Linked DNA regions of Arabidopsis thaliana. The protein of the gene in region 2 interacts with the protein of the main gene of each other region in a pairwise test. Each region holds a gene or a part of one and is shown on either strand. Other genes may lie near its edges.

Region 1 (7,695 bases), on a different chromosome or scaffold from region 2:
CTCACTTACTTCTCCATTATCGTTTTATGTACCCTTTTTTTTACGTACCAATCAAAATCGCATCTTTCTTTTCAAATATAATTATGTATATATACGCATGTGCAGCTGCTGCGTGTCTATGCATACTTGAGTCTAAATAACTATCCCTGACTATGATATGTCGTTGGTTACGAATGTGATCTTTAGTTAAAATAACAAGAATAATATCACACAGACAAAAACAAATAAGTGCATATTATTTCAACAAGATTGGAGTGGGTGGGCCTAAAGGCTTAAAAAAATAGAGCACATGCACAGAGGACCATTGATTCCCCAGAGACAATCAGACATCTGAGACCCTAATCGCATCAAGCCGCGTGCCCTTCTTCCATTAACTAATTTTGTGTGTTTGTTTTGGCTTAAACCTGAGAATTACATTGATTACTTTATTTGTTTCATTTTCTCCATGAAGGAGATAAAAAGAGTAAAAATTAGAGATTGATGAAAACTGAAAAAGAAACTGAAGTCGGTAAGATAGGTGTTGGAACTTGGAATAATGGCTTGGCTTTGAACAAAACGCATGCACCATTCATTGCCTTCAAGTTTTTTGCAATTAGCTTTGTTTTTGTTTTTGTTTTTGTTTTTGGGAGAGGTTCTAATGACCAAGAATCAAGAGCGTTGTCTAAAATCTAAACCATATGATACGGTTTTTAATATTCTCATGCATTAAAATGTACTATTTCTATATATGATCTTATATACCCAACATCTTGGAATTAATAGTTTGATTCGTTATCATTTGAAGAAGCTCTCAACAGCTTCAAAAAGCGAAATGTAGCATCATGAAGCGGTATCCAATTTCAAGAAGCTACCAGTAGCTTGTGGAAGTTTTCAAGAAGTTTTCCGGAAGATCCAACGATTGTGGAAGCCCCTCATAGTTTTTGGAAGTTTTCAATGATATTAGCAGCGTTGAGCGTGGCATGGCTAGACAATGTAAGAGATTTGATTTGCAACACATTTGATGTATTTTTTTACTTTTGAGTTACAATTGTAATGTATTATTGATTTTGCCCAGTTATGATTTATAAACCCTACAATTTAGTATCAAAGTTTTTATTTAAAATTCTGAATCTGACATTAATGATATCTGGCTCATTTACAGAGCCAATGAGATGGATGATGTTCGAAACTGGATTGGCCATTATTTATCTTTTTTTTATCTGGAGAATCTCGAGGTTGGCACAAACATTATCATATTAGCCTTTAGAAATTGGATTGGCTAATCACACATTTATATATATTCTTACCAAAATAAATCACCTCTCCCGTAATTGAAAAATATCTAAATACTGTAAGTCTGAAAAAATTCACAAGGGTTCGAAGAAAGAAGGAAATATCTAAGCATCATTAATAAACTATCTGTAACCTGAGGGAAAATCATTTCATGTTGAAATATGTGGATTTGGAAGTTTTATAATCTATCTGAATTTGTGAAATTTGATAACAAGTAAGATTTGTTTCTTAACACAAATCTAAAATTTGTTTTCTAATTAGGTTTGAGAGAGAGAGAGAAAGAAACGCTTTGTATGATACACATCTAGGCTATGAATGAAGGCAGCGGACAAAGCGGTCTAATTTGTCTGCGGTTTAGTCCATCTCATTTTTGGGGTGGACAATAAACCGCTGCGGACCAAGTTTATTTGTATGTAAAAACGGTCCGCAGATGGTCCGCAACGATTTTCTTCTATTTTTTTAAGTCCAGACCACTGCGGACTATAATTGATGAATGATAAATAAAAAACGGTCTGATCCGTTGACGGTTTTGTCCGCCCCAACCGCCATAACCATTCAAACCCCTAATTATTTCATCAGATAACATTATACACTAATAATCATTGCACTCAAATATGTCACACAATCATATAATAAAATAATAACAATGATTAAAATGAAAAAATTGTTGTGGCGCCGCATAAAATAGAAATCGTGAGAGACGACGTCATCTAAAAATTGCCTTGCTGTCCACTTTTCACTTTGTCCTCTCTTCTCATCTCCGTTCACTTCCACGGCGTTTCCTCAGCCGCCGATTTTATTTATTTCCCAAAATACCCATCACCTATAGCGCCACAATCCTCTACATCACACCCTAATCTCATTACCATACACCACCCAACGAACACGCGCCACTTCATTTGTTAGTATCTAAAATACCAAACCTACCCTTAGTTCCACACGTGGCGTTTCCTGGTTTGATAACAGAGCCTGAGTCTCTGGTGTCGCTGGTGTTTATAAACCCCTTCATATCTTCCTTGGTGATCTCCACCTTTCCCTCACCTGATATTTATTTTCTTACCTTAAATACGACGGTGCTTCACTGAGTCCGACTCAGTTAACTCGTTCCTCTCTCTGTGTGTGGTTTTGGTAGACGACGACGACGATAATGGAGGAGCTAGATCGTTCACGTGCTTTTGCCAGAGACGTCAAACGTATCGTCGTTAAGGTTCGTTGAGATACGTTCGCATTTTCAGATTTTGTTGTTGATGATTAGATTCTTAATTTGTGATAATGTGGAAATGAATATTATGTAATTTAAGTGCATCTAAACTCTTTGTTTATTGAATTCGTGAATCTGAATATATTTTCTAATCCCAGAAACTAAAACTTCTCGTATGAATCTTAATTTGCATGTCATTAGAGACGAATGAATAATCAGAATATTCGAGGGATTTTTTTTCTGTTTGGTGATTAAAATTTTGGATTTTTGTTTATATTATGTAAAAAAAAAAAGGTTGGGACAGCAGTTGTTACTGGAAAAGGTGGAAGATTGGCTCTTGGTCGTTTAGGAGCACTGTGTGAACAGGTAATTGTCAAATTTTAATAATCTCCTTTTTGTATTGTGTTTATAAAAAAGTGTAAAGGTTTCATTTTTTTTCACGAAAGACATGTGAAATTATTCATGCGTAGTGGCAACTTTAATTTGTAAAAAAATATATATATATAATGTCAGCTTGCGGAATTAAACTCGGATGGATTTGAGGTGATATTGGTGTCATCTGGTGCGGTTGGTCTTGGCAGGCAAAGGCTTCGTTATCGACAATTAGTCAATAGCAGGTTAAAGCTTAATGGCTACACTTCATTATTAATCCCTTTCCCTTATAACAACATTTGGAAACAAAAAAAAAAGGGTGATGATGGATGGACCATTTTGGCTTATGTTTTTATTGCTCAATAACAGTGACATGTGTTTATGTGTGTTATGATTTAAAAGTTTTGTTTTTTTTTGCTGATGGATTTGTTTTTTTTCTTTTTTTTTGTTAATGGCTTTTGCAGCTTTGCGGATCTTCAGAAGCCTCAGACTGAACTTGATGGGAAGGCTTGTGCTGGTGTTGGACAAAGCAGTCTTATGGCTTACTATGAGACTATGTTTGACCAGGTGATTTTTCCTTTGTTATCGAATTCTAGATTATTGTGTAAGACATCCAAATATTGATGCTGTTGTTTTTCTTTGGTTAGCTTGATGTGACGGCAGCTCAACTTCTGGTGAATGACAGTAGTTTTAGAGACAAGGATTTCAGGAAGCAACTTAATGAAACTGTCAAGTCTATGCTTGATTTGAGGGTTATTCCAATTTTCAATGAGAATGATGCTATTAGCACCCGAAGAGCCCCATATCAGGTTTGTCCCTTTTGACATGAACTTTTCTACACACTCTGAGATGTGAGGGATTCTTTGAATCTCGTAGTCTAATGTTCAGCTTCACTGGATCTTGATATATGCAGGATTCTTCTGGTATTTTCTGGGATAACGATAGCTTAGCTGCTCTACTGGCGTTGGAACTGAAAGCTGATCTTCTGATTCTTCTGAGCGATGTTGAAGGTCTTTACACAGGCCCTCCAAGTGATCCTAACTCAAAGTTGATCCACACTTTTGTTAAAGAAAAACATCAAGATGAGATTACATTCGGCGACAAATCAAGATTAGGGAGAGGGGGTATGACTGCAAAAGTCAAAGCTGCAGTCAATGCAGCTTATGCTGGGATTCCTGTCATCATAACCAGGTGAGGAACCTTCTAAGCTCACCATGCATAATGATAGGGTGATATGCTTGTTCAAATTTGGTTAGATGGTATATTGATATCTTTCTTGCTTCTGAAGTGGGTATTCAGCTGAGAACATAGATAAAGTCCTCAGAGGACTACGTGTTGGAACCTTGTTTCATCAAGATGCTCGTTTATGGGCTCCGATCACAGATTCTAATGCTCGTGACATGGCAGTTGCTGCGAGGGAAAGTTCCAGAAAGCTTCAGGTAATTGTGACTTATGCATGGCTTTCTTTCATGTTCGTAACGTCAAAAACCATTCTTGCTCGGCATAGAGTTACTTAACTTTTTTTTACATTTTGCTATAGGCCTTATCTTCGGAAGACAGGAAAAAAATTCTGCTTGATATTGCCGATGCCCTTGAAGCAAATGTTACTACAATCAAAGCTGAGAATGAGTTAGATGTAGCTTCTGCACAAGAGGCTGGGTTGGAAGAGTCAATGGTGGCTCGCTTAGTTATGACACCTGGAAAGGTAAGAAAGTATTCATGGCCATAGATAGTTGCTTTTTGTTGCTATGGCTTGGGCAAACATATTGTGCCAATGTAACCTCTCCTTATTATGTTTCTTATTTTGTGCTTGATAGATCTCGAGCCTTGCAGCTTCAGTTCGTAAGCTAGCTGATATGGAAGATCCAATCGGCCGTGTTTTAAAGAAAACAGAGGTGATCAGAGGACAATTGTTACCATATAGTTAATTTACATACTCTTGAGTTAAATAAGGGATATGACTATCCTCCTAGTTGACATACAATAGTTGTTTATGCTATTTGTTCTTTGTGGCAATTCCTTTTACAGGTGGCAGATGGTCTTGTCTTAGAGAAGACCTCATCACCATTAGGCGTACTTCTGATTGTTTTTGAATCCCGACCTGATGCACTTGTACAGGTATGTTAATAGTCAAAATTCATTTCCCTTCTTAATATGTGAATTTCCTAAAGCTGTGCTTTATCCACAAACCAAACAGATAGCTTCACTTGCCATCCGTAGTGGAAATGGTCTTCTGCTGAAGGGTGGAAAGGAGGCCCGGCGATCAAATGCTATCTTACACAAGGTACCATTGCCTCAGATTTCATATCATTATTTGCCTCAAAATTTATCACTACAGCTCTTTTAAGTTCATGGTAAATTTCTAGGTGATCACTGATGCAATTCCAGAGACTGTTGGGGGTAAACTCATTGGACTTGTGACTTCAAGAGAAGAGATTCCTGATTTGCTTAAGGTAAGAACAGATTTACAAGCTAGGAGCTGCAACAGTTCTTTTGTATCTTTTGTTAAACTGGAACCCACCATTTGCATTTGTGTTACAGCTTGATGACGTTATCGATCTTGTGATCCCAAGAGGAAGCAACAAGCTTGTTACTCAGATAAAAAATACTACAAAAATCCCTGTGCTAGGTCATGCTGGTATGGTTGCAAGTTTGTTTTTTCCAGAAGATTCTTTACTTGGATTGTGCTAGAGTGTGACGATGGCTTAATTGTGTACTTGCAGATGGAATCTGTCATGTATATGTCGACAAGGCTTGTGATACGGATATGGCAAAGCGCATAGTTTCTGATGCAAAGTTGGACTATCCAGCAGCCTGTAATGCGATGGTAAGAGAACTTTTTACCTTCCATCGAGATTTAATTAATACAGTGGGAGATTCTAAAGTTCAACTGACTCATTTCATCTTCTCTCGTCTCTTTCAGGAAACCCTTCTTGTGCATAAGGATCTAGAGCAGAATGCTGTGCTTAATGAGCTTATTTTTGCTCTGCAGAGCAATGGTACGTCATAAATGGCCCAATCATTTGTTGGTCTATCTTAACCATTTATTTGACCTCTTGTTACCTTCCATCTGGATGTCTCATAGATATACATGTAGCCTGTTTGATTATAAATATTGAATGGTCATCTCATGAAAACATTTCTAGAGTGGCATAACTCATGAGATATATTAAACTACAGGAGTCACTTTGTATGGTGGACCAAGGGCAAGTAAGATACTGAACATACCAGAAGCACGGTCATTCAACCATGAGTACTGTGCCAAGGCTTGCACTGTTGAAGTTGTAGAAGACGTTTATGGTGCTATAGATCACATTCACCGACATGGGAGGTAGAAACTCGACATAACAGGCATTGACTTTAGAAATTCTTTGCATATGTAGTGGAAATGTTCACTCGTTATCTTGTCTTGTATGTTGTTACGAGCAGTGCACACACAGACTGCATTGTGACAGAGGATCACGAAGTTGCAGAGCTATTCCTTCGCCAAGTGGATAGGTAAAGTACTGAATCTTTAACTTGCTTATTATCTGTCTTTGATTTTTCTTGGAAACTGACTGTAAGATGTTGCGACCTTGAACAGCGCTGCTGTGTTCCACAACGCCAGCACAAGATTCTCAGATGGTTTCCGATTTGGACTTGGTGCAGAGGTAAGTCAGAGACATACACATAAGTCTATAGATTAAAAACAAATAAAAAGAGGAAGAGTGAGTGATAAAAAAGTATTGGTTGTGGTATATAGGTGGGGGTAAGCACGGGCAGGATCCATGCTCGTGGTCCAGTCGGGGTCGAAGGATTACTTACAACGAGATGGTACAATTTTAGTTACTCAAAGCACCATTGTTATGTCAATAAAGACCCACAATAAGCCTTTTTTCCTATGCTTCTTTTAATTTTCATGGTGAAATGGTTGCAGGATAATGAGAGGAAAAGGACAAGTTGTCGACGGAGACAATGGAATTGTTTACACCCATCAGGACATTCCCATCCAAGCTTAAACAAGACTTCCGAGTGTGTGTTTGTGTATTTGGTTGAGACTTGAGGAGAGACACAGAGGAGGATGGGCTTTTTTGTTTCCTCTCTGCTTAGTACTCATATCCTATCATTATTATTATTACTACTACTTATTATTGAAACCCTCGCTTATGTAGTGGTTTTGATTTAGGGTTAGGATTGCACCAAAAATAAGATCCACTTTACCACTTAGTCTTGCTCATAAGTACGATGAAGAACATTTAATTAGCTTCTCTTCTTGTCATTGTAAGCTACCTACACATTTCTGATCTTTATCAAGATACTACTACTTTTCATTTCGCTTATCTATAAATATATTTCGATTTGCATTGGAAATCACAAGTTGAATCAGAACTGGAAACTCTTAACCATAAATTCTCAAAGATTGTGCTACATTTGAAAGCTAACAATGAACACAAGAAAAGAACCTCACAATCTCATTCTTAGGTACTTAGCTATCAACCTAACGTTTCACTGTTCCATGAACTCCTTAACATTCTTCAACCATAAAAAGTACTCTCGGTTCACTTTCCTCGTCATGTACTCGTGCAGGAAATTCGTCGTGCTAGCTTTCACTCCTCTGATCTCCAAAAACTTGTAGAACGTCTTCTTCAGATTCTCGTCCAAGTCTCTGCAAAAAGCGATGAAACACAAACCAACATTATAACCTCTCTGTTCATCATGCCTATCTCTATACAACCTTACACTTGCAATTATTATTCACAAAGGCTTACTCAAAATCAGGCCCTTCATTAGCCAGTTGATCCTCCAAAGAGTCCCCAGGATGTTTCACAGATAAAGCATCTATAGCAATCTCATCAGGAAAAGCCATACAG
Region 2 (4,988 bases):
AAAATAGAAGAGGAAAAGGGGAAAAAGCGAAAACGAGAAACGAGGGAGAGACGTTGAGAGATTGAACAAGAGAGGTGAAAACTCGTGGAGTGAAATGGAAGGAAATTTTCTCGTAGATTCAATGTGAACTTTTTCTCGCCGGATTTACCGGGAAAAAAACGAACGAGAGATCTCTTCTCCGGTTCTCCCTCTCGTCGCCACCGGAAAACGACACACTATTATATATTTTTCTTTTTTCGAAGAATAGAATTAATTATTATTAATGTTCAAAACAAAAACCGCGTTACAGCTTATCCATAACGAAAGCAAAAAAGAAAAATGATCAGATGACAAAAAAGAAAAGAAAAAAAAGTTATTCAAAAATAAAATAAAAATAATATTAGCAAACTAAACCAGTTTAAGTTTCATTAGGTTCAATTAGGTTCAACTGCGGATAAAGTGCAGTGCAGTTCAAATAATAACAAAAACATATATATGCAAAAACATTCGTTACTATTTGAACCGCACCGCATTGTTCGGTTCAGTCACCGTTCCACGGACAACAACCCACCGCATACCAAATTTATTTATATGTAGTAATTGACAATTTTTAAATAGTAAATAAAAAGCGGTCTAATCCACAAACGGATTTATCAATATATGTTTCTCTTATGAATTGACAATAAAGTGAGTAATAAAATCTCTGGCGAAGATTTCTTGTCATCTTTCTTGGTTGCCTACACAATGAAATTTCTTGGCTGAAAATAGGTTATAAACATACATAGATGAGATCAAATCCAACTCCAACTAACAGTGAGAAACAAAGCTTTTCAGAAGAAACACAAAATTATATATATTTTGTGAAGGGAATGTATACAATAGTGTAATGTAGTATTAAAACGCAGTTAAAGGCTTTACAGAGAAGGATTGAAACATAACCATTTCAATTTAACCTCTTTTTTATTTTTAAATTCTTCAGCCAACATATCGGAGCAAGACTCCATCGTTGCCAAGCACAAATCCTTTCTTGTCATCCACAAATCTGCAACAAAAAACAGACAGGAATTGAGAACTGATTAGTTTGTTCGTTTATGCTAAAGTATTTGAGATTTGAGATGAGATGAGATGGGTGGGAACAATGATGGTTCCCAATGATGGTATTGAAGGAGTGTGTTTTGATGTTTGAGTTAGAGACTTACTTGACTGCGTATAGGTTAGCTGCGATATTATCAGCAGCTTTGTCACGGTTCCATGATTTGCCTCCATTTCTTGTTCTCAGTAGTATGCCACTGCCTCCTGCTGCCCATGCTTCTTCCTGCAATACCCAAAAAAAAAAAAAAATGGTGTAAAGATCGGAGCAGATTCAGAGTTTTGAGTGATCATCGTGGAAACTCATTTACCTCTGAGCGATATCCAACATCTAGAATGCCAAAGCCACGGCTTTGTACTGGAACTTCTTCAAACTCCTCTGTAATCTGAGCAATTATAACAGAGGAGATCAAAATCAGATGCAGTTGGAAGTTGAAACATTGGAAGAGAATTTAAATCACAAGGAAACAGTTTTTTTATTTTATTTTCCTTGTTATTAGTCCAGGGAATAGCAGATAACAAAAGAAAATTGTGTTTCTTAGTTCATGGCTAGATTTGGTTTCATCCTCTAAGTGGCAAAAGAACCCAGAAACTCGCAAGTAAATACCAAAACGAGAAGAAAAGGAAATTTTCAGAGAATAAAACTGCAAGAAGTGAGGAGAGTCTTGCTGCTGTACTTACCCCAGTACCTTTGCTAAGATAAAGTCCTCCACCACGAACAAGAAGCCAAAGACCACCATCAGCTCTCCATCCCATGTTCTGAATTCTTCTAGCAACAGCTCTATTGTGTGGTTGCCAGTAAGGCTGCAATATACCAATACTATGGTGAATGACAGTCTAAAGAGCACGCAAACCACACACAAGAACAAAGAGAGGGATTGGTAGTCCCTTGTAAGACACATAATACCGTTTACTTAGACAAAGTACTTTTTAATCAAAATCAAAATCAGCAATAAGACTGAGCCTAAGCAAGTGCTAAAACTTCACCTAGCTATGTCATAAAAAGGACTAAGAGTTCAAAAGCAAACCACAAGTATAAATGTATTTCTTCATAGCCTTAATTGAGTCTCACCTGCCCAGGCTCCCATGTCAGAAAGAAGTTACCACGGCTCGAAACAGCGACATATCTTCCATCAGGTGAACGATTAACAGCACTGAAAGTTCCCGTGTAGTAACTAGCACCACTGATTCCACTGGATACTGTTCTGCAAGACCATAGGAAATACTGAATTAAGGTCTACTCTTTGATCTCTATTGAATCTGGATGGAAAAGACAATGCCAATTCCCTAGTATAAACCAAAGAGAGGGTAACGAACCTGTTCAAGGTAGCTGAAACAGTTTCCTGAATAGCAGCTTTCCAGTTATATCCCCTGTTTGAAGTAACATAAATAGCACCTTCATCAGTAACCATCTCTGCACTCTTATCTTCTGTCGCTTTTATAAACACCTACAACAACATTTGTAACAAACACATTCTCATAAACAAAAACAACAACAATAGAAATCTCTGAAAACACCAGAAGAAACAAGATATAATACCATATCTCCAGGAAGCTGAGAACTTAGAGGAATCCTATCCCAATTCTCTCCAGCATCAGCAGTGTACAATAAAATCGCAGGTTTGCCAATAATCCATCCTTCTTTGCCTTTAAAGCTAATCGAATTGAATCTATAATTGAAATCTTCTTCTTCAGCTGAAGGAATCGAACGTGGATTCCAAGTGCTTCCACCATCTTTAGTCTCTAACAAAGTCTGTCTCGTTCCAAGTAAAAACCCTAATTGACATTTCAAGCAAGAATCAGTAAGTAAAACAATTTCGAACTTAAGAACGGAAAATTAAAGAAGAAGAAGAAGGAGTAATTACCTCGGCTAGGTTCGTCGGGGACGAAAGCAATGTCGAGAAGAACAACACCGGGATCGATTGGGAGAAACACTCTTTCCCATTCGGATAACTGTTCATCAGCTCTCGCTGGTCCAACAATGGAAGAAAGCGAGAGTGATACAGCTGCCGATTGGTACAGAAGCTCCCGCCGACTGAAAGATAAGGATGAAGAGGACGATGATGGTGATGGAGATGGAGGAGGAGAAGATGAGGCTTTAGGGATTAGGCGATGAGAAATGCGTTGAGAGAGGAATCGAGGAGAAACAGAGGGCTTGAAGAGAAGATAACCGTCGCAGAGTTGCAGAGACGCCATTGATGTGTGTAAATGTTCTTCGATCTCTCTCACTCTCTTCTCTTTCTCTCTCCCGCCTCGAGAATACATATCCTTTTGCTGTGGTTATCTAACGTCTACGTAGTGTACACGTGTCGTTTTATTATTGGTGTAATTGTTTCTAACAATCATATTTTAATTTACCTTTACTTCCAAGTTTTGAGTATATAAACTCAAATGTAATTATTTTCACGTTGATAGGGTTTTCTCTCTCTTCTCTCTCCTCATCTTTCAGAGAGTTTCAGCTTTTTTGGCCAGCAATGACTGGCTTTATCAGCAGTGTTTGGTCGGCTTCTACTCCGGCATCGCTGGCTTCCTTAGAAGCGTTGGCTGGCTCAGCTTCCGGCATCGACCGGCTACTTTTAGCGGTGGTGGCTGGCTTATCTCCCGAGAGCAAGATACCCTCTTTCTTGTTTCGTCGGGCTTTTCTCCGGCGTCTTTAGCCGGTTTTTTCTCCGGTTTTTTGACCGGATTTAGATTTGATTTGTTTTTTTTTTATCTTCTGCTTGTAGTTCAAAGATTGATGAACCCTAAGAGTTAAAAAGATGTTGATTGAAGAAGAAGAGGAAGAAAAAGAAAAAGAAGAAGAAGAAGATTTGCACTTCGTGGAGTCAAATTCTCGTCCAAGCTACAACTGAAATTTCGCCATTAATCTTTTGAGCGACGAGTGAGCTATGCCAATTAAACAAGTTTTCCGGTGTTTCGGCCGGAATTGAAGCTTCTGACGGCGACTCCCTTCTCTTCCAGTTCCTATGTGTCCTTCAAAATGTTTCCCACTGACACGTGTTTTCTATGCGGCGCACAACAATCATTTGTTCTCTTCCTTCAGTTTAGGGTTTATTCATTTGGGCTTTTGGGCTGTTTTTTTTTTTTTTCTTTGGGCTTGTTTATTTTAGTCTTTGTGAATTATTGGCCTGTTACTTTTGGCTCTATAATATCAATAAAACACACTTGTGACAAAAAAAAAAAAACTCAAATGTAATCATCTAAATTTACTAAAATATTTTCCTCCTTGATTTTCTTCCTTTCTCCCTGGTCATTCTCAAATTTTTAACTACTCAATCCTTTTGAGTCATACTTTCATCTTCATCATTTTCACTGTGATGAATCCATGTGACATTTTTTCCATTATCATACATAATCCAAAAGTCTCTCCTTTGCTAACATCTTTTTCTTTTAGCATTATATGCATCACTAAGAAAAGATAAGAAATAAAAGATTGAACGCTAAAGGTTCAGACATTCATCTTTGTCCGTAATTCATCTTGAATCGAGAAAGTAATAAGATGATTAAAATTAATCATTACAAAATTTGCACAATTCATAGTCTAGTAAATCTAAGTATGTCTACAAAGCTCTTATGAGTAGGAAGAACAAATCATACGAAGCAAGACTTGATATGACTCCAATGAACAGATTAAAAATCCAGAAAAATAGTTTGAAATAATTTACTTATTTATGATATGAAAAGGTTGCCAACTTAGTTTTAAATTATGAAAAGGAAATTCACAAAGGAATACAGTAAAACTTCTATAAATTAATAATGTCGGGAACGTGAAATTTTATTAATTTATAGAGATATTAATTTGTTGAATTATTAATTTATAGAGAGATTTGGTTAATTTGTAATTTTTTTTAACTTTCCTATATGAAAAGAAGTTTTATTTGTCATAACCAACATCTTTTTAGATACAAATACAAGTAAAA

What was found. The genes of interacting proteins can lie anywhere in the genome.
Region 1: the proteins of HCF136 (region 2) and P5CS1 interact in a two-hybrid assay, tested with the Arabidopsis thaliana proteins (one large-scale study listed by BioGRID).

Annotation. Positions count from the first base shown.
Region 1 is NC_003071.7:16,597,664-16,605,358, reverse strand, and holds P5CS1 (delta1-pyrroline-5-carboxylate synthase 1), read left to right. Parts: upstream 1-2,039; 5' UTR 2,040-2,419; coding exon 2,420-2,479; intron 2,480-2,767; coding exon 2,768-2,839; intron 2,840-2,986; coding exon 2,987-3,090; intron 3,091-3,309; coding exon 3,310-3,412; intron 3,413-3,492; coding exon 3,493-3,654; intron 3,655-3,758; coding exon 3,759-4,036; intron 4,037-4,133; coding exon 4,134-4,284; intron 4,285-4,385; coding exon 4,386-4,550; intron 4,551-4,662; coding exon 4,663-4,740; intron 4,741-4,873; coding exon 4,874-4,963; intron 4,964-5,042; coding exon 5,043-5,129; intron 5,130-5,211; coding exon 5,212-5,298; intron 5,299-5,386; coding exon 5,387-5,483; intron 5,484-5,568; coding exon 5,569-5,672; intron 5,673-5,768; coding exon 5,769-5,844; intron 5,845-6,025; coding exon 6,026-6,176; intron 6,177-6,274; coding exon 6,275-6,343; intron 6,344-6,428; coding exon 6,429-6,495; intron 6,496-6,587; coding exon 6,588-6,658; intron 6,659-6,761; and 3 more. Other genes in the region: AT2G39795 (Mitochondrial glycoprotein family protein), read right to left, coding at 7,331-7,490, 7,594-7,695. UniProt on the Arabidopsis thaliana protein: P5CS plays a key role in proline biosynthesis, leading to osmoregulation in plants.
Region 2 is NC_003076.8:7,776,430-7,781,417, reverse strand, and holds HCF136 (photosystem II stability/assembly factor, chloroplast (HCF136)), read right to left. Parts: upstream 3,402-4,988; 5' UTR 3,334-3,401; coding exon 2,934-3,333; intron 2,845-2,933; coding exon 2,609-2,844; intron 2,517-2,608; coding exon 2,386-2,516; intron 2,274-2,385; coding exon 2,141-2,273; intron 1,873-2,140; coding exon 1,750-1,872; intron 1,455-1,749; coding exon 1,380-1,454; intron 1,295-1,379; coding exon 1,179-1,294; intron 1,022-1,178; coding exon 955-1,021; 3' UTR 511-954; downstream 1-510. UniProt on the Arabidopsis thaliana protein: Essential for photosystem II (PSII) biogenesis; required for assembly of an early intermediate in PSII assembly that includes D2 (psbD) and cytochrome b559. Has been suggested to be required for chlorophyll a binding.